4 linked regions of the Drosophila melanogaster genome follow. The protein of the gene in region 1 interacts with the protein of each later gene in a pairwise test. Each region holds a gene or a part of one and is shown on either strand. Other genes may lie near its edges. The genes, in order: Cpr97Eb, Nrt, Had1 and Cpr100A.

Region 1 (5,358 bases):
TCCTGGCTACATAGTGATTTGGATCCCAGCTGAGAATTTTTAATGGTCAAACTTGATTTCGTCAGAATCTTTAAATAGGTTACCTGGATTCCAAGACTAATGCTTGACCAGCACCTGCTACATAGACTTCCTTCAGATCGGCATTGATAGCTATAGACCTGCTGGCATCCTGGGTAAATTTCACTCTCTTGATGTAAAAAGGATCAAAGGATCCCACGGCATTGTAGCCGGGAATTCCGTCCTTCCACTGACGGAAGAAACTCTGGAAGTTTTTGGTCAGACAGACATTAAAGTTGGGATCGCCCACGATACATGGGATTAGGAAGTCGGCTGAAAGTTGTACATTTAAGAATATTATTAACTTAACTCAACCAAAATATGTTGTATTAAATGTTTATTACGTTTCTCTGCCAGATATTTAGCTCCTTCGACTGCTGAAAGGAGTACGGCTACAATACTCAGGAACTTGGCAACTTTAATAAGCATCTTGATAATTTTATTCCAAAATGTGATGACTAGAACCGTTTTCTTTGAATGCTCTGATTGAAATGACGATTCTGTCTGGCCGCCGGTAATTTTATTCGAAATGGACCGCTCGAATGTATAACTTTTAAAATCATTTCTTTGTTTTGCCGATTTATATATATTTATTTTATTTATTTCGGTACAATTAGTAAGTAAACGAGTTTGGCCGCATTAGACTTGTTGTGGTCGTACAGGGTGCCCAAATCTTTCGATTCATCTGATGCGATACCCTAGCTCGAAAATGCATTAATTTTTATAATATTACTTAGCCTTTGCCTCGCCGGCGACTCCATTTCCAGTTGTAAAGTACTGTCATAATACATATATCTAGATACTTAGACATATATTCTATTCTATATATTCTATCTCACTTTCGCTGGAGCCGAACTGGTTCTACAAGATCATTAAGATGCGACGACTGTAATGCTGACGGATTTATTTAGTTTAGTAGATCTCTCTTAAGAATATATATTCCAATTAATTATAGGCGACAATTCTAGCAAACTATCTTTGCATATATGCATACTCAAGTGAGGAAAAGAAGCCAAGCGAATGTATTTATCTGCATGCAACCATGACCAAGGTCTGCGGTTCTTGGGTTAACGAACTTGTGGTTTTGACATAAGTACCTACACAGAAAACAACTAATTATGAATTATGTATCATGGGAATTTTCTTATTTTAAATACGCATACATTTTTATTCTTTGCCACAGTGAGACCTGAAAATCTGTGGTTCTGCATTATTATTTGATGAATATGCTATATGACTTGTTATTTGGTGTATTTTGCACAGTGTAGAATGTGATTTCAGATAGATGAATGCAAATCCCCCGAAATAAATGGAATAAATTCAGTATTATAATGTAGGTTGACAACTGTGTTTGTTTTGAATGTGGCTTGGGGATTTTGGCAATTTATTTTATATAAATTGGATCCTACTTAACTGGTTGTTTGTGAAATAAAAAGAAAACATCATATAAACTAATTTAAATTCTAGAAATCTCCAGAGATCTAGTCAAACCATCACATTTTTTTCTGCCTATCTATGACGTAATTTCAGCAACCTGTTTCTTTAGCCAAAGCATTGACTAGGTCAGTATGCCAGCATATAAGTTTTTGTATTGCTTTCTTTTCCTAGCTTCAAGTGTGAGTTTTGACAGGCTAAGAGAAATGGCTAAATAAGCTGTCAAATTGCATGTTGTGGATGCAGATTGCCATTGGCCAGTGCACTTAACTGGGAGCAAGGTGTTTGGACAGGTATTTGCAATCGATTAGCAGGTGGGGGGGAATTGACTTGCATAATTGGAATGCTTAGCAAGTGCAACACTTCCGCACCTCGCAGTACTGGCATTTTATTCTTTTCTGGATTGTAGATTTCAGTGATGCCAAAGGTACTTTTTAATTGTGTCTATGAAATAAACTTTAAAGATAACTAACACCTGATAAATCGATGTGAATTGTAAAAGTTTTTAGATGGCACTTGAAAACTATTTTACATCGCACTTTGTACCTCAAACTAGAGTGTGCCAATATGAGTAGGATATGGAGTGTAAGTGTACCAAGTGTACCTAGTTCTCATCACTGTTGCTGCTCTGATCTCATTGCGTATGCGTGAGTGTTGCGGTCTGGAAGCATAAATTGCTGGCCAAGAATTCGAGTAGACGACATTAACAACCTGATTGGAAATTGCTGCGCGTCGGCTTGCTGCTGGTAAGTGAATTACCTGTAGAGGTGAGTGAGTGGGCATATCGATCGGACGTAAGTACAGCTGGCCGACGACCGCTTTCGATTTCTATGCTGCATTCCAAGCCAAGTCGAATCGGTTCTCGGATCGGATCGGGAGCTCGGGCCTCGGTTAACGTATTCGTTTTCGTTTTCTGATCGCAGCTGATCGCCAGATCCAGAGACTTCGGCTTGAAGCTTTAGTTTCTGCCATGGTTTTTTCCCCTCTTGGCCCGCTTTTGCGAAATGTTGACTGCGGTATAAAAAGCGTTGCACGCCCTGATTTTCTTTTGAGTTTGTCGTTTCGATTCGCAGAGTCTCGAGTGCAAGTGCAGAACACATTTTCCATTTTCGCAGTGCATAACTACTTTGGGAGATTGGTGAAAACGGTTCGACATTGACAATTGGTTCTAAGCTTGGCAGCATGTTGAAATTGGTAAGATTCAGCAAGGTGGTTTATAGTGTTACATCTCCAAAGCTCGATATTCATATCGGTATGCAAAAGGTGTTTTCAGAATATGCGCAGTGAATTTTTAGAATGCAATTTAGCCAACCGGTTTGATCAGATCGGTGTCTATGATAAAGAGTAACTTAATTGGTGGTTCATTACTCAGCCATGTCCTTGAGTGAATGTTTGTGAACTGATAATCAGAGCAGCTAATTAAGGTATTTAGCCAAAAGTAAGGCAATAAAGGCAAAGTTCATGTATAATTGCTGACTTTACAGATGGGTGTGACCGAAATGGTGATTTAATGATACAAACGATTTGAGTCACTTTTTCACTCAACTCTTTGTTTTTCAATTTGCAGACCTTGAGCTTGGGTCTTCTGCTTCTGGCGGCCCACAGTGCGTATGCGCAACACCAGGACTACACCACACCGGTGCCCATTCTCAAGCAGATCGACAAGCACAACGACGATGGTTCCTACACATATGGATACGAAGCGGCCGATAAGAGCTTCAAGATCGAAACCAAGTACGCGAATGGAGAGGTCTATGGAAAGTACGGTTATGTGGATGACCAGGGAAAAGTGCGGGAAATAGAGTATGGAGCCAGTAAGCGTGGCTTTGAGCCCGCTGGCAGTCACATCAATGTGCCACCACCTACGCTGACCAACAGCAATCCCTATCCATTGGGACCCAACGAATTGGACGATGGCCAGTATCGTGAGGACCCCTCGGTGTACTACAAGGACCAGAAGTTCAATCGCCCCCTTTCACCGGCCAGTAAATTCAGTCTGAACGATTTCGGCCGCGGCCAGCAGCAGGCGTATGCCCCGCCACCTCGGCAGCCCGCCCCACAAACGCCCTACTACAATCCCACACCCCAATACTACAATCCCCCGGCTCCGCAGCCCCGTTACTACCAGCCTCCGGCCCAGAACTACTATAATCCCCAGCAGCAACAGCCATACAGGGGGTTGCCGGAGCAACATCATCCCTCCCTGCGAAATCTCAACCTCTACACCGGTTCCTATAGCATCGACTATACGGGCCGGAAGTAGGAAGGAGGACCTTTTGATGGGGGGATCACCTCTGAGTTGGGCCAGAGAGTCAGGGACTGAAGTGTCCGAGGACAATGTCAACTTGTTACTGCCAAATAAATCAGTCACTCCGCACACCCCACACATGTATCTATTACTGTACCTGTTTATATATGTTCTTGAATGTGTGTAATAAATCGAGTTTTGAAACCTGAAGCGTTTACAGAGAAAACGAAAGTGTTCTGAAATCATTAAATGTTTTGGTAATTGCTATGAAAATCAAAGGCAATTAGGGTGTTAAAGACAACTAGTAAACATTCAATCAATTTACGCTACCCTTTTCGCTGTCATTTACTGCTAAGTAATTATTCTCAGTGCTCAGAAGTATTTGAAATATCTGCTTTGGCATTCAATTTAGCCAACTACCAGGTTCCGCTTCAATTAAGCCGCCCCACAGCAGAAATTGTAGCAAAATCCAGCCGATTGAAATAAAGGCAAAGAGCCCAGCAAGTGGCCAATAATCGTTAGGCCATTACGTCAACACAGAATGATCGAGCCAAAACAACAAAAAACTACAAAAAAAAGGCAAGCATTGTGGCCGATTCAGATTGAAAACCAAAGTGGATTTGCTGTTGACTGGAATTTGGTGCACTTATGCAATGTGCTGGCCCCAAACCACTTTCAAATGCACTGCCACCAACGGCCGACCAGTTGGCCATAAGCTGTTGGCCATAAGTATGGTCTATGGTCTATGGTCTATGTACTTGGTGCTGGGTGGTGGCTCAACTGCCTTTGTCTTTTGGGTGTGGGGACTGCAGGTACTGGAAGAAGTGGCTTGAAGCTTGTTGGATAATTGGAAGTCACCCACGGATCAATGGCCAAACAATGAGCTTAAATCAGTGTGGTACTTAACTTTTCGTTAGCTTAAATAAGCTATTAATTAGGTAATTTAATTGAATTTGACTCAAATTTTCTGAAGGTTTTTCATTTTATTAAAACGGATGATTAGCAATTTATATATATGGTTACAGCAAACCCACAAAGTAGCTAATAAAGTAGCTGTTAAATAACTAAGAGCTATTCCCCGTTTAACTTTAAAGCCACTATTTATAGTTTGTCATATACATTCGGTTGTGTGAGCTATTCAAGTTCCTTTCCACTGTGCCAGTTGGCCAAGTCAGAAATTCAAAGCGTTTTGCTGGCGGCACCAACGAAGAATCAAGTCCAGACTGCACCTCTTAAAAAGCAGTGCACAAGCACACATTACAGGCTCTGAATTATTTGTATATGTATATATTTTCAGCATTTATATAATTCCGCAGAGCAAAACAGCGAAACTGGTCTGCTGCTGCTGGGGCGTTGGCATGACTCAAGAATTTCCTGCAAAACTGTCTACTTTGCCATGGCTGACTAGCGAACAGCTGCTACACTTACCACATTTTTTTGCAGCACCATTTTCTGAGGTGGCAAAAAGCCGTAGGTATGGAATTGTTATGATTCCCATTCAAAAATGCGTTGGCTGAGATGCCTCCGCGTTGGTCGAGTGTCGCATTGAAAATATGCTACTCCTTTGGCCCTGCATTCAATTGTATTGAATAGTTGGCTATCAATGGGGGAAATGTACA
Region 2 (6,463 bases), on another chromosome or scaffold:
TTTTATCTGGGCAGGCGAGTCGAGTTCGGGGGACTGATTCCATTAAGGGGCGCCACAACACCACCTTAACACTTGCTGCGCCTGTTGTTCGCCACATGTCCCGCATCCCAGTGCCCAGAGCCCAGAGCCCAGAGTTCCATCCTCATCCCTGGAGCACCGGCCTCGCCCCTCGTTTTGGGTAAATAAAAGAGTAACTTTTGTGGTTGCCCTCAGACCAAGTGGGTGGTTCAGTGGTTGAGTAGTGGGTAATACACGAAAGTTTCGGTTTTTTATGTCCGAACATAATTTGCAACGGAGCTTAAACAAGACGCGCATTTTATGTTTAACTTCCTTGTTCGCTATTTGTAGTCGACTTTGCGGCGTTTATGGGATGGAAAGTGGGCGGGGCACAAGTTCCGCACCCCCAAAAACAAAAAGCCATATAATTGAGCTCAAACATTAAGCGGCTTTTCGAGGTTTTGCTTGGCATATTGAAACCGAATCATTGCTTGATTGAATTACATATCGTGGGGTTAGTGGTGCAGAGAACAGAACTCCCTCGAATTTCTTGAAGTCTTCGTTTTCGGTTTCCACACGTTTCCGGTTCAAATTTAAATTAAACTTGTTAATTATTCCATCCGAAGAACAACCCACACAAGACAGGAACATGTGTTCACTACTCCACTTCCTTTCCTTGGGCGTCCCACATTTTGCGGGTTTCCTCGTTACCATTTGCGATCATGATAATGATCCGATGCGATCATTTTGATCCTTCCCCTTCGACGTGACGGGCATGCGTCAAACTCAAATACGTATGTAACTCGAGCCAACCTTCACTTTTATTTTCTAGTTTCCTACCATATTTATTCCTTTTTTTCGGTAGCAGATGTCGCCTAACATCATGTCTAATGAAATGCTTCAGTAGCTCCACAATGAAATAGGGAACCCTCATAGTTCGGGGCGTGAAAGTTGTTGACATGTGGGTAGGAATTCCGTGGGGTAATACCTTTGGAAGAACAGGGGAATCGACTTCTAATACATTTCTAGCACGTGTCGTCATGGCTTCTGTTCTAATAATTCAACCGACACAAGTTCAATATAAATATTAAACTATGTACATACATAGGTATACAATGAAAATATTGAAATATTGAAAAATATTTACCAAACACTTTAGTTAAATGGGTAGCCTAATTGTCTGAAGACATATCTCCTACATTAGTTGATTACTCATAAATCATAAGCGTAACATTTTTATAAAATAGAGCACATACTATATAGTAATTGAAAGTATAATACTGGGGGAGTGCCCTTTATTAAATAAACTGCAACAACGTATGTTTTTCTCATAACTGTGGATGAATCATTCTGTTGATTTGCGTATCGCTCAAAATAAATGCATTAAAATCTTCTTTATAGTTTTCATTGCGCAAAAGTTGATTGAAAGAATCATTATATTTTGTCTTTCTTACCAAATAAGTGAATTTTCTCAGGGGTAGGGATATGAAACCCTATGCGAAAAGGGGTGTTGGGTTGGAGGTAGCCAAGGGTAAGGGTTTGTGCTGTAATGACGCATCAGGACGTGGAATTTCCCTACATATGCCAGATGTTCCCATCGGCATAAACTGCGCTTCAACACTTGCCGCCAGTTGATAAGCATTTGAAAACGAGTTTCAAAAACCGAAATCAAAACCTTTACTCAAACAAAAGTGCCATATCAACAAACTTCTTTCCCTTCCCCTTGCCAGCTTCCCTCTCTTTTTAAGAAAAATTAATAACAAAGAAATATAGGGAGATCGGCATCTACTTCTATTTGAAGCATGTACAACTCAGAAATTTTTAATAACTTTAAGTTTTATATTTATAAAGAGCTGTAGACTACGTAATACCTCTACTTTGGGTTTTGGGTGTTGACTTGAACAATTTATAACAATTTTACCCTATGTTCTCCTACATGTTCTATAAAGTATCTGATCTGATCATAATATCTGAGGTGTCTTGTTTCACTAACAATAAACGCTTTACCAAAACTACAATACCTTTTTCATAAAATCACCATCGAACATTTTGCACTTACTGTACAGGAAAACAAAGCCGCTACTTTTACTGCTGCTTTCCAGCCACCCCTATGATTTATAAATTTACAATGCCGGCTGCTTCCAGTTCCAGTGCACAGTGGTCCAGTTCGAACTAAATCATAAACATGAATTATGATCATGTCTAATAAGTTTAATTAAATTACTTATAAAATATTACAACAATTCGTTGTGTAGGTGTTTTCAATGCTAATCACTGTTGCTTGACATAATTTGTATACTATTATAAACTTACAAGTTATATCTTAAATTATGTTTTTTCTTTTTTTCAAGAGAGAAACATGTTCTCGCCGAAAACACGTTCCACTTCCAGTTCCCCGAATAAAAACAAATCCAAGAAAATTAACATTAACAGTTGCTGTTAAGACTCTGTTAACCGTTTCGAAGCCGCATGAATTGCATGACATCGAAACGGCGTCAGTCAGTTTTGTTCTGTTTTGGAAGCCGCACGCGTTTTCCCTCGCTCCGGTTGTGCTCGCTTTCGCATCGCACACACACACACACTCTCGCCGCACAGACGCGACCAAAAGAAAACAAAATCAAATTCGGCGCAAACAAGGAATAACTTTTTATATTCCTATTGTGCATCGTATGTTGTATTAAGTGCAAGAAATATATTTACACAAATCTAACAAAAACACCGCAACTACTTTTGTGCATTTTGTTTTGCTCTGTGCCGAAGGAGCGGAGAAAAGAAAAAACCGCAACAAATCAAAAAATCTGTGCGTTTGTTATACACACCTAAGTGTCCTGCAGGAAGGACATCGGGTTCATTTACGCCACCCGCTGTTTTCAAGGACCAACGGATTATTCCCAATTGCCACATTTCAACAAGTTCGAAAAAAGCAACACACATTTTACACAGTGTTTGCGAGAATTGAAAAAGGTAAGATTACAAATTCGTGTGAAGGACCTCGGGGATTTGTAGAAGAGGAAGAGCAGTTGAAAACAAATCGATGAATTGTAAATGAAGTCAAATTTGTCTGCCAACTTTAATAATTTAACAAGTGAATATGGACACTTCAAACTTGAAAGATTAAAATGTGATTATAATTGAATAAAACAATTTACATGCATATTTATTTAGTTTTATACAAATGTAAAGATTTTGGCCAAAAAGTTTATTGAAAAACGCTAATGCCGTAGCAATTGAAATCTGAGTTATTTGTGAAAAGTAGAAGATAAAAGATATAAGAGCTTAATTTGAAAACTTTTAAAATATGTCGGTATCCGATCTTGACGGCTCTAAATTAATTTATAATCCTCCACAATCCATAATTACCGAGGAAACATCTTACCAAAACAATTTAAATGGCGTCTCGAAAAACATTTCATTCCGAGCTCTTAATAAGATTAATGGGGCTTCACGATTCATTGATATAATCCCTCCGTAACGAAGCACACCCACCCCATCGTCATCATCATCTTACGCGTCTTGAGGTCTAATGGCTCGTGTCAATGATCAGACGGACTCTTTCCCTCAATAATTCCCATTTTCCATCCTTTCTAATGGCTTGTGTCGCGGCTCCGTATGAAAAACATAACCATTTGACATAAATCACGGCCCTGACAAATCCTTTTGAACATTTCATAAACATAATGTGTGTTAATCCTCAGATATTTCAATCCATCAACATCCAGAGTTTGGTGGATGGAGTTGCCCCAAAAATAGCGCGACCCCTTTGGTATCATTTGTATGCACAGTCAGACGCCGGCTTGAATAAATCCCCAAATAGTCATTCCGTAAACAAATGCAAAGGAAATTGTTGAAGGGATACGGATACCGGGAAAAAGGGCAATAATTCAATGATGAATTAATAGGCGCATGGAAATGATCACGAATTCCCGGGATCTTCAGAGAAAGTTCGAGTTGGCAGCTGCTGCTCTTCGATTCGCTCCAGAAAAAGAAAAAAAGACTTCCGGGGAATCGAGCAACTAAAAAGTGAGAAAAGCATCAACAAAGCCAAACAGAGGCACAACAAATGGGGTAGGAAAACGTGAAGATGCCACGCTGACGCAACATTTGCATTCGGAAAGAGATTTATGGAGGCAACTCCCCCGCCCATTGACTTTTCGCTCCAACTTCCCTCATTGTTTTGCCAAGTTTTCAAAAGACAAGAGCCGACATGATGATGTTGATGTGTGTGCCTCAGTATCTCATTTTCCCAATTTACCCCAAAATGTGTGTAATCAAAAGTTTTCGTCTTTACAATTCAATTTTAAATTGTTGTTCCTATGTAAGTGTTGCCTGCTTTCCACTCGAAAAGTAAACAACAATTAAGGAAAAACACAACAAGGCAAATGCAACAAGAATACAAAGCACGATTTTCAACACTTTTTCTCGCTCTCAATGATAAACAAAACTCGGCTATTTACATCTGGAGTTCATGGTCAAACAGTTTAAACAAAAATGGAGTTTTCATTTAGGAAATTGTAAATCCATCAGCAATAAGAACTTGAGAGTCAAGTGCTGCGATACGATCCCAAAACTCGAATCCCCTCAAGAGCTGCTGACAATTGACTAATGAGGGTTACAAGAAACCCCAGCGCAAATCATAAATATTTGTTGTTGACAATTCCAATGGCCCTGCAAGGAGCCTGGCTTCAAGGAATTCTCAGGGTTCTTATCGCGGAGGAAATCTTCGCTTATCTGCCTGAAAAAGGCAACGTGGTGCTAGAAAATATTGTGCAATAAAATGGAATGATATAGTGGAAGGACAGCCATGAGTTGTGAGGAAGGCAGTGTATGCAGACTTAACAGATACCCAGTACTTCCATTTAAGAAACAACTAATTGCATACATAATATTGGTTAAATGCACCAGGAACTTCGTGGTTCAATGCACTCAGTTAATGTTATAACATTCTCCAACAAATATTCTTGAATATAAGATATAAGATGTGTCTACCTCATCAAATCCAAGAGTACGCGGTATGCACAAACATTGAACCAACCAACGCAACTCAGGGCTATCCTATCCCATATCTTCAAGAGTTGTTTGCCCCTCGAGAGTAATTACAAATTCATAAAAATGGCCTGTTTGAAGTGGAAATCTCGTTCCGATTTTGTTTGCTCTTCCCACTCCAAACTCCATTTATTCCATTTTTGTTGTGCCAATCCCCTTGTCCTGGAACTAGGCGCCTTCCGCTGATCCTTTGAGGTTTGTGGGACTCTGTGCCCCTTTACCAGTTTCCGCTCTCTACCTGCCCCAGGAGATTGTTATCCATCAAAATAAAATGAGGGGAGACGACTGTGAATTCGCATCGCACGTGTATAAACCTTTGAGTCTTGCGGTTTCTGGTTTCTGCCCCTTTTGTACTGGAAATAAATTCAGTCTTATATTTCTTATGAATTATTATAGTATGTCCTCAAGTAGTTCTTAACAAACAAGTTTGTATATTTTTAAAGGTTTTCAACATTTGTTGCAACTTGCGATCTATCTTACCTATGTTTCTTCTTTATTTTTTCTAAGTGTTTCTCATGCTCCAGTGAACTTCACTCCCCCTTCATCTTTCCGACCCCTTCCGCATTGTTCTTTGAACACGTGTCAGCTTTGATCATTAATCACCCTTCTTTTGATTGCCTGGCGAATATGTGGCTCATCATTTTCCATTCTCCCACTTGGCCAACTTCAATAAATTGCCATGAAATTAAGCAACTTGAACAAAAATCCACAACACGGCATGATAAATCGTTAGATCAGAATATTTAAAGTTAATTTTAAAATGACCAGAGGCCATGTTATAAAGCAGGAGAAGGAGGAGGAGGAGACCCAATCCCCACCAGAAGTCCATTAGCATGGCGTCCGGATGACAAATTGACTTCGTTAGAAGTTTGCGATTTCCCTCGATGTCTGCCTCTTTTCCGACGTGGAAATTGGAGGCGCAAATTGAAAGATTATTATGCCTGAGGTTATTGAATCTAAATCGCTGATTGCGGGTGCTCCGAGTTGGGAAACGATGCACTGAAAAACGTAGGAGATTCAGGGGCTTAAAGTCCTTATAGTTACAAATGTCAAGTATCATGTTATTGCAAATGTATATTAAATAATGTTACGTTTTTTCGTGTGTATCCTTCCTAAAATTGCATTGCTGTTGAGTCTGTTTGTTGTTTTGACTGTCTAGACAAATTTCCTCGCACATATAATTATAAACAGGCTTAAGCGTTTCTTATCAGTAGATCTGAATGTCCGTGCTGTGGAGTGTTCTGAAATTGTTGGAATATCCTGTTTAATTGAGCATAAACAGCACCCGCACACAAAAACACTGAAAGTGCATGTCAAAATAGAATGTCCTTTTTCATTTTTGTTTTGTTTTGTTATCCACCTTCTGTCATCTCGCTCGCACACTTTACTGCCCGTTCACACGCACACGATAAATGGCCAAGAC
Region 3 (5,886 bases), on another chromosome or scaffold:
CGCAAGCGCGATATTGATCTGATCAACGACAACGATGATCTGATCGATCAGCTTATAGTCAGTATGAAGAACGCTTCGGACGACGACCGTCAGCTGAACATGATAGGTCAGCCGGCCACAAAGAAGATTTCCATGCTGAAGCAAGTGATGTCACAGCTGATCAAGAAGCACTTGCAGCTGGCCTTCTTGGAGCACAATATACTCAATGTACTTACAGATTGGCTAGCGCCCCTGCCAAACAAAAGTCTGCCATGTCTTCAGATACGCGAGAGTATTCTTAAACTGTTATCAGATGTAAGTGGCATGCTTAGATTATTATATATTATATTATGGCTTCTAATGTGTGGATTCTCCATCTTTAGTTTCCTACCATTGAAAAGGGACTTTTGAAACAGTCGGGCATTGGCAAGGCTGTGATGTACTTGTACAAACACCCCCAGGAGACCAAGTCGAATCGCGATCGCGCTGGTCGCCTGATTTCCGAATGGGCTCGGCCGATATTCAACGTTAGCTGCAACTTCTCAGCGATGAGCAAGGAGGAGCGTCAGGAGCGCGATTTGGCGCAGATGTCACGTCATCGGCATAAGAGTCCGGATACAGAGCCTTCCTCCAGCAGCAAAGCACCTACCTTAAATCAGACCCTCTCCAACGAGGACAAGATGCTGCGTCCCGGAGATCCCGGTTGGGTGGCTCGCGCTCGTGTTCCCATGCCCTCCAACAAGGACTACGTCATCCGCCCAAAGTCAACCGTCGAGGGTGAAGTCTCCGCGGTAAGTAGTCCAGCATAAAGCCCTGGCTTTCGCCTCCACTTATTCATTGATTCCATTGAATCTCATTTCAGTCGACAAAACGCAAGCCAAACCGCTACGAGAAGCACATGAAACGTTTCCTGGACTCAAAGCGACTGAAGGAGAGCCGCAGGGCCGTTGAGATATCGATAGAGGGTCGAAAGATGGCACTATAAGCAGCATTCTAGCTAACTTTAAATTAAATAATAGAACGAAATTAAAAAAAAAAATGTATATTTTTGAATATAACTAAACGCGAGAAACGCTGGCCTTTTGAATTTTTCGGGTCCATTTGAGGCATTGAAAACGATAAGCTAGAATCCAAAGTCAAAAGGAAAGAGATGGGAGATCCATGCAGGCCGCCATCTTATCAGGAAGCTAAATTAGCTACTAAATTAGTTGTAAATATGCACATGTGTAATTGAATTAATACGAATTCACCGATTAGATATTACAGCTTTCAGTTGGGCTGCAAAGTAGACTTAATTTAATTATTAGCTGCACTTTGCATTATTACATTAAACAAATAAAATAGTTAAGCAACAAAATAGCAATACAAATTTCACTTTTAACACACTAATCAGATTCTCTTCGTCTTTCCATACTGGCTTAAACAAAAAACGAGCAATTAAACCATTAATTAAAGATGGAAACGTTAATCCTTCAAGAGGATTACTTTTGTATACTCTTTCAAAGGTTATTATATTTTTAGTCTGGTTGCTTTCATATTAAGTTAAAAACACGAAGAAACCTTATGATTTGTATATTCATTGCAAATGAGAAAAGCAAGATCATGTTTTCCATTCTAATCTTAAGACGTCGCGTTTAATTTATTATGTGGAAAAAACCAAAGATTGGAGAAACTAAAAGTTAAATTTGTACCATTCCAGGTATATCTCGCACAAGAAATGAAGTGATAAATATGTCAGTAGAGATTAAACAAACTAAACTAAACAAACCAAATAGATCTTTGCATTTACAACTCACAAACATTTTTTAAGAATATTCTATAGACTATGGTTGCAATTTTGAACAGGCAGAGCATTGAAAAAACGTATATTTAGAATAGTTTTACAACGAAACGCTCGAATCAGATTGATAATACTTGACGTAGTTATTGCCATTTGCTCTACAAACATACATATTTACAATATTTTATTGCCTTATATTTAAGACAGCGAAAGCTTAAAAAGCTTAGTAAACAATTCGCGGGGTTATTTTTGTGCCGGTAGCAAATACATATGTACATACATACATAAATGCACGGACAATCACAAAGATACCCGCCGTAGTAGCTAAACTAACATTATAAAATGGCATTATTAATAAAAGTCAAATTAAGGGCATCTTGGCACAGTTTTGTCGTGTGACACCCGCTAGGAAATTGGTAGCTCCTTGAGAACTTTTGATGGACTATCTCACACACACAACCAGCCCCCCTTCCACCCACGCGAGTGGAAAATACCGGTTGGAAAAGGTACAGGTACCCGTCCTGCGTACCTAGCCAAGGTAAAAGCTATCAAAATGAAGTGTACCAATGCTGGCTTTTATAAGTTTAATTAACTGAGTTGCTTGCAGGGTTTCTTTTAATTAATTATGATTATAAATCAATTTCTGGACAATCATTTACATTTTCCTTGGCTTGCTAGCTAGCATATAGTATTTAACAAAAAATACATAATTTCAACAACTTTAGGGCCTGCATTCAAAGCCTAAATGCACTAAATGCAAGGTACGCGGCAGCTCAATGATGTGTATACAGCGCTGTGGGCGTGGCAGCATCGTCCAATTGCCCAACGGGGCGGCATTGTTATCGCACGGCCCACTATCTCCTCCGAAATCTCCAGCGACACCCATCAAGCGCGTCCGCAAACACCCCACAAACACTTGGGCTCGGGTCTCGTTCTCGTTTTTGGGTTCACCTCTGGCGTGGTTATCGCCGAATATTAAACCGGTTGCGCTGCCGTCTAATTGCTCAAACGCATGTACGCTGTGCCAAGTGGCGGTCGACAGCAATAGCTCCTCCATAGCTCCTTCTTAAATCCAACTCCACCGAAGTAAATCGGCAAAAGTAAATAAACAAAGATGTCGGCAAAGAACGAGAAAGTTGGCATTGTGGGCAGGTGAGTTGGAGCAGGAAGCTGTTATTCGCTAGGATATCCAGGTGCTGACTGGCGGTGTTACCATTCCAGCGGTCTAATTGGTCGCTCCTGGTCCATGCTGTTCGCCTCGGTGGGCTACCAGGTGGTGCTGTACGACATCCTGCCCGAGCAGGTGTCCACCGCTCTGACTGCCACGCAGAAGGAGCTGCAGGATCTGGAGGCCAAGGGCCTGCTACGCGGCAAACTGACCGCCGCCCAGCAATTCGCCTGCATCTCCGGCACCAACGACCTCAAGGAGCTGGTCAAGGGCGCCATCTTCGTCCAGGAGTGCATCCCCGAGCGTCTCGATCTGAAAAAGGCGCTCTACAAGCAGTTGGACGCCGTCGTCGGACCCAACACCATCCTCTCCAGCTCCACCAGCACTTTTCTGCCCTCCCTCTTCAGCGCGGATCTGAAAAACAAGGCCAATGTGAGTTGAATTCTTGAGATTAGTGAGCCATAGTATATCTCCACCTTGAGCTGATTACTTGGTAAAAAGAATAGTTAATCGTAATACATACAAACAGCTTATTGTTTTAAGAAACATTCTTAGCTGCAATTGCTTTAATTTAAAGCTGCGCCGTCCTTGTGCCCAATTTGATTCGCATTTATTTGGATTTCGATGTGATCGCCGCAATGACTAAGCCCAATTACGCTTGATTTCGTGAACAGGTTTTGGTCTCGCATCCCGTCAACCCACCGTACTACGTGCCTCTGGTCGAGATCGTGCCTGCGCCGTGGACGAAACCGGAATGGGTGAAGAAGACCCGTGCCCTGATGGAGGAGATTGGCCAGAAACCAGTTACGCTGTCGCGGGAGATCGAGGGCTTCGCCCTCAACCGCATCCAGTATGCCATCCTGAACGAGACATGGCGTTTGGTCGAGGCCGGCATCCTGAATGTCAAGGACATCGATAGCGTGATGAGCAATGGACTGGGACCGCGCTACGCCTTCCTGGGTCCCCTGGAGACGGCCCATCTGAATGCCGAGGGCATGGCCAACTATTTCGAACGCTACTCGAACACCATCTATGCGGTTAGCGAGACAATGGGACCGACACCGAAAATGGAGGGCCCCGTCGCCGTCGAGGTGGCCAAGCAGCTGGGCGAGATGGTGCCGCTGGATCAGTTGGCCCAACGCCGCAACTACCGCGACAACTGCCTCACCCAGTTGAGCATTCTCAAGAACAAGCTCAACCAGTAAACTCATTATTATCTTGCTGCTGCGTTTTTTTTTTTTTGTTTTTTCTTCATTGTTGTGATATGCTAGCGCCACATACGTTAAATATACGGAAATTGCTTAACTGATAATCTCTTTTTATTGAATTATTCCTCGCTGGTCTTTCAAGACAGCTGCGAAAAGCGAAATTAATAGGGAGTGTGCTTTGCAAGCTACTAGTTCTAGGTATTACATCAATGGACAAATCCTTAAAACGTAGGATACTTGTGGTCAAACGGCTTCACCTGCCTCTTAAATGCTATTTTTATTCTCTTCTGATATGCTTGGCTTACTATTAAATCTCTTCTTTAATCAACTCCACTTCAGTGGAATTTCAAAAACATAGGGAAATGAGAAAGGGATTTCAAGCACTATGAGTTCGCAAGGTAACTTAGTGGGTTAGTGAGTAGTTAACAAAGATAAATTAACTAATTAGTTCGTTCAGTTCGAGTGGAAATTAAATATAAAGTACTGGCTCCACTGCTAATCCGTTTCGAAACGAAAACTAATTTGCTAACGTTTAGTATGGAGTGCAGACTGCATATCAGTTCGCTTTATCTTGTGACGTCGGCCAAAAAAAAAAAAAAGGAAAAACAAATGGAACAAACAAAAATATATGGGGGAGATAGCCAAGCCGTTTTCACATTGTCGGTTTATCTGCAAGGTTAAAAACTTGACCTCAGACATCACATTCGAATTCACTTTCAGGCGACATTGCGCCACCGCCCACGGGCCAAGGAAGTGCTCCCCCATTCCCCATTCCTACGCAATGCACGCTCTCTATCCTCTAGCCGGAACCGCTCTTCTTGCAGAAGCTCGGCCCCCTAATGCTGGGCGTCGAATAGGAGGTATTTGACAGGGATCCCGATCCTGCGGTCATGGCCATTGGCTTCAGGGATCTGCGCTGCTGGGTGCGCATTTGTGGCAGTGGTGTGCTCGTGCAGGATATGTTTTGGGCGGGTTTGGTCCTCGATGAGATGGGCGTTTCGGGTACACGCGGATGGAACGGATTCAGGTAGGTGGAATCGTTGCTTGCGGTCACTTTCATAATGGGAACCACCGGCTTGATGGGCTTCGTCGCCTTAACACTTCCACTGGGTTTGGACACCGATTCGTTTATGGCTGGATTCCTCAAGCGGCTGCTCATTAGAGTACGCCTGTTCTCGTAGGCCTTTGTGGACGGATTACTTGGCGTGGAGAAGGAGTTGCTCCTCTGGCGAAAGGCAGCTGCTGCACCCATCGGCCCAACAGTGGCTGTGTTCTTGGTCTCCTTGGGCGGCGGAAGATTCTCCACCTGGCGATCGGACTTCAGGACTTCCCGGGGCAGCTTAGACTTGTCCTGAATGGAAAGCGACGACGATCGACGGCGCATTGAGCCCGCCGCATTGGTCTCACGTAGAGGCATTGGCTTAGTCTTGGCCACGTTGCTCGTTGTGTATGCTACCTGAGTGCTGCTGTAGTTGCTGGGGTTCACCAACAGTATGACTGTCCTGGGATCAAGTCCCTGCTGTTGTTCATGATCACTGATCCCCGTGTTTGCGAGTTTGTGCCGCTCCAGCAGTTCGTTAATCTGTTGAGCGAGTGTTTCGTCGACCAACTCCGTCATAAATGGCTCCTTTTTGGCTACTGACACGGGCGGTATCGAAGGTATCGATGGTATTGATGGTATTGATGGTAGAGATGAAAGCAAGTCCTTATCAAATGCATCTAGTCGCGATTCGCCATCAAACGTGGCTGTT
Region 4 (5,349 bases), 3.8 Mb from region 1:
TAATTACTCATCAATTTAATTGGATTCTGTATTCGTCACACCCACATCGCCATAATTGGAGTGAGTTCCACATTTCACGACAAATTCTGGCGACGTTTACCTTTTTAAAAATAAACGCAGTCAATCATAAACGTGTGTTGTTCATAAAAATAGACGTATTAAGAACACTTTGGAAGCAACACACCCATGAGACACCTGTTTCGATCCCAGGCAAATTCTCGACTCTTACCTCTTTCGCAAATCCGAACGAAAATCCGCAATTGAGCAAGCCAATTCAATCGATTGCGATTGCCGCAAAAGTGGGTGCACAAAGGCACGCGGAGAAGAAATCATAAAAAGCAATAAGTAGCAAAAAACAAAACCGAATTGATTTTCTTAATTGACTAAACAGTTTCAACAGAAGCCAGACCCCAAAGCCAGGCAAAGCAAAAATCCAAACTCCAAGCCGGACCCTCGAGTCCACAACAAATCTGACCTTGAAAGCTAAGCTCTGAAAAGTGTTGCTAATATTGTTAATGTAATCGTTGTCGGTGGTGAAAAGGAATGCCAACCAATGGATGTGGAAAGTACAGAGGGAAAAATGCTAAAAATAAAGACAACAATAAAATGCTAGCACTAAAAATATTTAAAAAATAAGTAAAAATGGAATCATGAATAAAATATAGTCAAATTAGAATAGATTTTGAGAGATATTGAATGAAATCAATTATTTCAGCATGCCCTGAATTAATTTATTATTTCCGAAGTAAATATATAGGTATAAGTGCAATTAAATAATAGAATAGCAATCGGTGCTCGAATTAAGTTGTAAACTATAACACACATATGCTGAGAACTCAGCAGGTGAGAGGAAATAGCAAATTAGCTGGCGGCATTCTTGCGTTCGATGGTGCATAAAATATGCAAAACATTTGGATGTTATTAAGTTGCACTAACGCAACTGGAGCCTGACGGATCGCAATACCATTGGGAATTGATTTAGAGCCCCAATCCCCTAATGAACCAGTGCCACCCCCACTTGCACATGGTTTTCCGGCTTAGCCAGCACCAGCACACCAGGCTGATTTCATTTTCATCGGAATTTTGCACAATTGGCCAAGATTACTGTCAAATGAGCGAAACCCGTTTGAGGTCTTTCCTTGTTGGCCGCATAGAATCGTAACAGAAACTCGAAACTTGTTTTGCACGTACGAAAGTCGGTTGTGTAATGCCGCATTTAGTGGGCGTTCACCACCCGAGGTGTTTAGATAAATCTGCTGGAAATTAAATAAGCGGCCACTGGCCGAAAAACAAAAGACTGCAGGACACGAACTTGGTTTCCTTCATATATTGTTTTTACTCGATTATAGTACAAATTGCTCAGACGTCCCAAGGCCCAAATTAACATAGTTTCTAAATTAATTTTGATCATTTTTCAACATCATCGAAGTTTATTGACTTCTCTTTTCTTGGGAAGACTTAAATGGAAAGATTAAAGTTTAATGGGAAAGTCACAGAGAAAAAGGCCGACATTTCTTGAGTTTTTTCATATTTCAAAAATATGCAAATGATATTTTGAATATATTTTGTAATTTAAATCAGCAATACCCATTGGGCAGCAGCGATTAATTTTCTCTGTGTAGGATTATAAATTAATAACAAACAGTACGCATATAGGAAGTACGATACAATTGCTCTTAAACATATCACACGAGAGTTTGATGGAGTCAAGAAAAGAGTAGGGGTTCTAGTTGTGATAGGGAAAGTTGGAAAAGAAGAAAGAGGATCCCTACTAATGAAGAAGATGCATAATGTCTGAGTGGAGGACAGTGGGGCTTATACCTTGTTGAAGGAGTAGGTGAAGCCATCGGGCGTGCGGTTCAGGGACAGTTTGCCGGGTGGCGAAAAGCGGTGTGGGTTGGGGGTGGTGGTGGTGTAGTACGCCTGCTGGGGTTGCGGCTGCTGATACTGGGGTTGGGGCTGCTGATACTGAGGCTGGTACTGCTGCTGCGGCTGCACGGGCTGTGGGTTGTAGGCGGGCTGGGGAGCAGGACGGTACTGCGGCTGGGCAGCGGGCTGCTGGTAGCTCTGCTGGTTCTGTCCGAAAGAGGGATCGTTGTAGCGGGGATCGTAGGAACCATCATCTCCGTAGTCATTGCTGCGGAAACTGGCCTGCGGCTGGGGAGCGGGAGCCTGGTACTGCTGCGGCTGGTACTGCTGCTGTGGCTGATATCCCGCTGTGGGCACGGGCTGTGGTGGAGCAGGTGGTGCCTGGGGCAAGTGATCTCCAGAAGCTTGGAAACTATTTCGGAATAAAAACCAAATTAATACAAGTTCGGGTATTTGTTCTATAGAAAGTGCTTACCCATTTTTGCCAGCTGTGTACGAAATAGTACGCCTCTGGCCCGTGGGATCCAGATAGCTGTAGCTGCCATGACGTGTTCCATCCGCATCCGTCTCCTCCTTGAAGTTGATGCCATCCTCCTGCTCATAGGCAGCTCCGAACTTTCCATCTCCGGACAGATAACGCTGCTCACTGATGATGGCCGCCGTTTTGGGATCCTGGTGATAGTGCTGGCTGGAAGCCAGGGCCACCAAGGTGGTCAGTGCAAGCTGTCAAGAATTCAAAATTTATTGTACAATCAAGTATTTGTGTGCTGCCAATTCCTTAATCTGAGTCATTATCACTTAACGTATTATAAGGTAAGACTTTCACTATTTAATGTGTACTCTAGAATATCCTGGTTTGAATTGACACTTTTGTCCGTCAGTTTGATTACTTTTCTCTTAATAGCTTTTAAATTGTTCGAACAGCCTTGAATAAAACACAACTCACAAATCTGAACATTTTGGTGTGGGGAATATCCTTGTCAAGCGTAAACTGCACACAATTTTATCTTCTTCTCGAGGGGGATTCACACGCGCCTTTACGCTTACAAGTCGGTTAAGAGGGAAATGGGACCGACGGCAACGGATTTGTGGAGTTAACTGCCTTCCGCAACGGTGCCGCCCAAGCTTTTTATAGTCCGAGCGGGAACCTTGGATCGCTGGATCGCCGATCGACTCCGCCTAGGCACTCCAAGCTATGTAATTGTGTTGGTACTATTAACGTTAACGGCAACAACAAGTCGGCCAAGTCGGCGTAACAATAACAAGAATCGAGCTAAGTGCTCCAATAAGTCAACTTTGGGCGAGTATTGGTATCGCGGTCGTGTTGCCAAGTCGTTTTACCAGTTTCGATCTCTTTCGCTTGGAGCGCCAACTTTTGCTTTCTATATATACGAATATATGCTATATGCACTTAGTTCCACCGTTTCTGCCTGCACCAGGCCCAAGCCCAAGACGAAAATATTTTTTAATTATTTCAAAAGTTTTTCAGCTGTAATCCAGCCTCAGCGCAGAGGTATCCTCATCTGGGAGGGGATCTATCGAAACCAGGAATTACCAATTAGTTCTGCAGAGCATGATGCAATTTTAATGGCAATAGTTTAGTTTAAGAGTAGGAAAAAAGGAAAATGTATGGAAAATACAAATAAAACGGGATATAAAATAGATTGAATAATAGTATTGTATGCCAATAATGTTGGCCTAAGCTAAAAAACAGAAATAGAAAGTAACTACAACACCCTGTGGAAGAAATTGGCAAAAGCCTCGTCTTTATTGTCTTTTTGATTTTTCCAGTGTGAAAAGCCCGTGGAAACTGTCGATTGTGATGGATAACTGGGCGGTCGCCCTCTGCTGAAAATCCGAACATATCTTGGGAAATTCGCCAAATGAGCGTTGTTAACTTTTCACTCCCCTCTTCAAGTTGTAAAGTTGTAAAGCCGTTTGTTTGCCTTTTAGCTGGATTTGCGTTCTGCATGTGCATGGCCAAGTTGATTTATATCTAGATCGGACTGAAAAGCTGGACTTTGTGGTGTGGCCAAAAGCGCTTGGCAACAATCGCCAGTGTTACCGCAATGTGTTTGACTTGTTGACTCTGCGCTGGCTTCAATTATTTATTGTGTTTGAAATGTCTGGCATTGTTTGGGCTTGTTTATGGCCAAAGCAGTTGGCCGCCCACCCACATGCCACACGCCCACTCCCACGCCCCCCACTTTGCGTAATGTTTGCAGAGAACTTTTGGCATTATTTATGATCTAACAATGCAAACAGGTCTGCATCTCCAACTTTGGTTATTTGAAGTTTTATATCTAGAGTCAAATTAACATTACATTATCTATATCGATATTCATTTTAATTTTAAAGAATTTTTCTTAAGCCCTAAAATTGAACGTAAAGAGAATTAGAGCATTTATGTATGCAAATCGGGTTTTCATATTTTAATGAGCGATTTCCACACAGCGGCACACTCTTGCACACAAAGTAGCCGCATGGGGTCGAAGATTTCGAGTAGCAACACTCTCATTTACACCGTTATTTGCCCTTTTGCAAGTCGCCATCGTCTGAACATCGCCATCATCATTACCATCGTCATTATCCGGCGGTCTTGTTTGTGTGGCCAAAAGCGGAGAACGCCCTCTCGCAGCAGGAGGCGGTGATCAGAGCAGAAAGCGGTAAAAGGAGGAGGAAATTAAATCAGTTGACAAACAACAACAGGAAACTGCAGCTATGGCATATAGTTCCGGAATATATACTTGATGTGCGAACGCCATGGCAAGGAGGCGATGGCAAGAGCAGCGGATCCAAGGTGAGGCCGAGCAGTTGAGCATGGCCGGATTAGCTTGAGGGTGTGCCCATCGGAGGGTTGAAACGGTCTAGCTACAGTGATCACTCGGAAACTAGAAATTCTAGAATTTCCTCTACTTAAAATATCTATAGAAATGGAACTACAGTTATATCTAAAATATTTAAAGATCCTTTTCTCTTTATTCCTATAGCATTATCTATATTTCCAACTTTATTATTAATTAATTCAAAATATTTCATCTAGTTAAGTAACTAAATCCGTCATGCTCGAGCGGCCACTGTACTCCCGAAGCGTCCTTCTTCGCTGGCCTCTCTGCTGCTGCCTTTTTGATTTCCATTTCGATTTTGAGGCGTTTGCCTGATGCGACGATACTGCCACCCAGAATTTCGAGGGAGGGAGTGGCACCAGGAGGTTGATTTTTGTTGTTATTTCTGTTGTGATTCCGCCGTCATCTCCAGCAGTCAGAAAGAGATGGCTGACGGGCCCATTCAGCGTTTTATTTGTCAGGCTTTCACTTTGGCCGAGTTAATCACAATCGGCGAACAGATAATGAGGGTTGAGCCCTCAGGGAGGGGATGCATCATGCAAAGCAGAGCGTTTTCCTCATCCTCATCCACGTCCGTCCTGTCGTAATTCCGCGTTGTCTCTCAATTATTTCAGCTGCTATTCCGAGCCCAGGA

What was found.
Region 2: the proteins of Cpr97Eb (region 1) and Nrt interact in a two-hybrid assay, tested with the Drosophila melanogaster proteins (one large-scale study listed by BioGRID).
Region 3: the proteins of Cpr97Eb (region 1) and Had1 interact in a two-hybrid assay, tested with the Drosophila melanogaster proteins (one large-scale study listed by BioGRID).
Region 4: the proteins of Cpr97Eb (region 1) and Cpr100A interact in a two-hybrid assay, tested with the Drosophila melanogaster proteins (one large-scale study listed by BioGRID).

What each region holds. Positions count from the first base shown.
Region 1 is NT_033777.3:27,088,307-27,093,664, reverse strand, and holds Cpr97Eb (cuticular protein 97Eb), read left to right. Parts: upstream 1-2,534; 5' UTR 2,535-2,673; coding exon 2,674-2,685; intron 2,686-3,058; coding exon 3,059-3,754; 3' UTR 3,755-3,961; downstream 3,962-5,358. Other genes in the region: CG14258 (uncharacterized protein), read right to left, coding at 1-29, 84-330, 402-486.
Region 2 is NT_037436.4:16,763,580-16,770,042, forward strand, and holds the start of Nrt (neurotactin), read left to right. Parts: upstream 1-2,492; 5' UTR 2,493-2,961; intron 2,962-6,463. UniProt on the Drosophila melanogaster protein: May mediate or modulate cell adhesion between embryonic cells during development.
Region 3 is NC_004354.4:16,305,263-16,311,148, reverse strand, and holds Had1 (beta hydroxy acid dehydrogenase 1), read left to right. Parts: upstream 1-2,481; 5' UTR 2,482-2,873; coding exon 2,874-2,911; exon of another isoform or gene 2,912-2,980; coding exon 2,981-3,359; intron 3,360-3,450; exon of another isoform or gene 3,451-3,601; coding exon 3,602-4,132; 3' UTR 4,133-4,237; downstream 4,238-5,886. Other genes in the region: CG9915 (uncharacterized protein), read left to right, coding at 1-294, 363-770, 842-964; CG3679 (uncharacterized protein), read right to left, coding at 4,935-5,886.
Region 4 is NT_033777.3:30,865,150-30,870,498, reverse strand, and holds Cpr100A (cuticular protein 100A), read right to left. Parts: upstream 2,979-5,349; 5' UTR 2,828-2,978; coding exon 2,816-2,827; intron 2,593-2,815; coding exon 2,345-2,592; intron 2,282-2,344; coding exon 1,816-2,281; 3' UTR 1,315-1,815; downstream 1-1,314.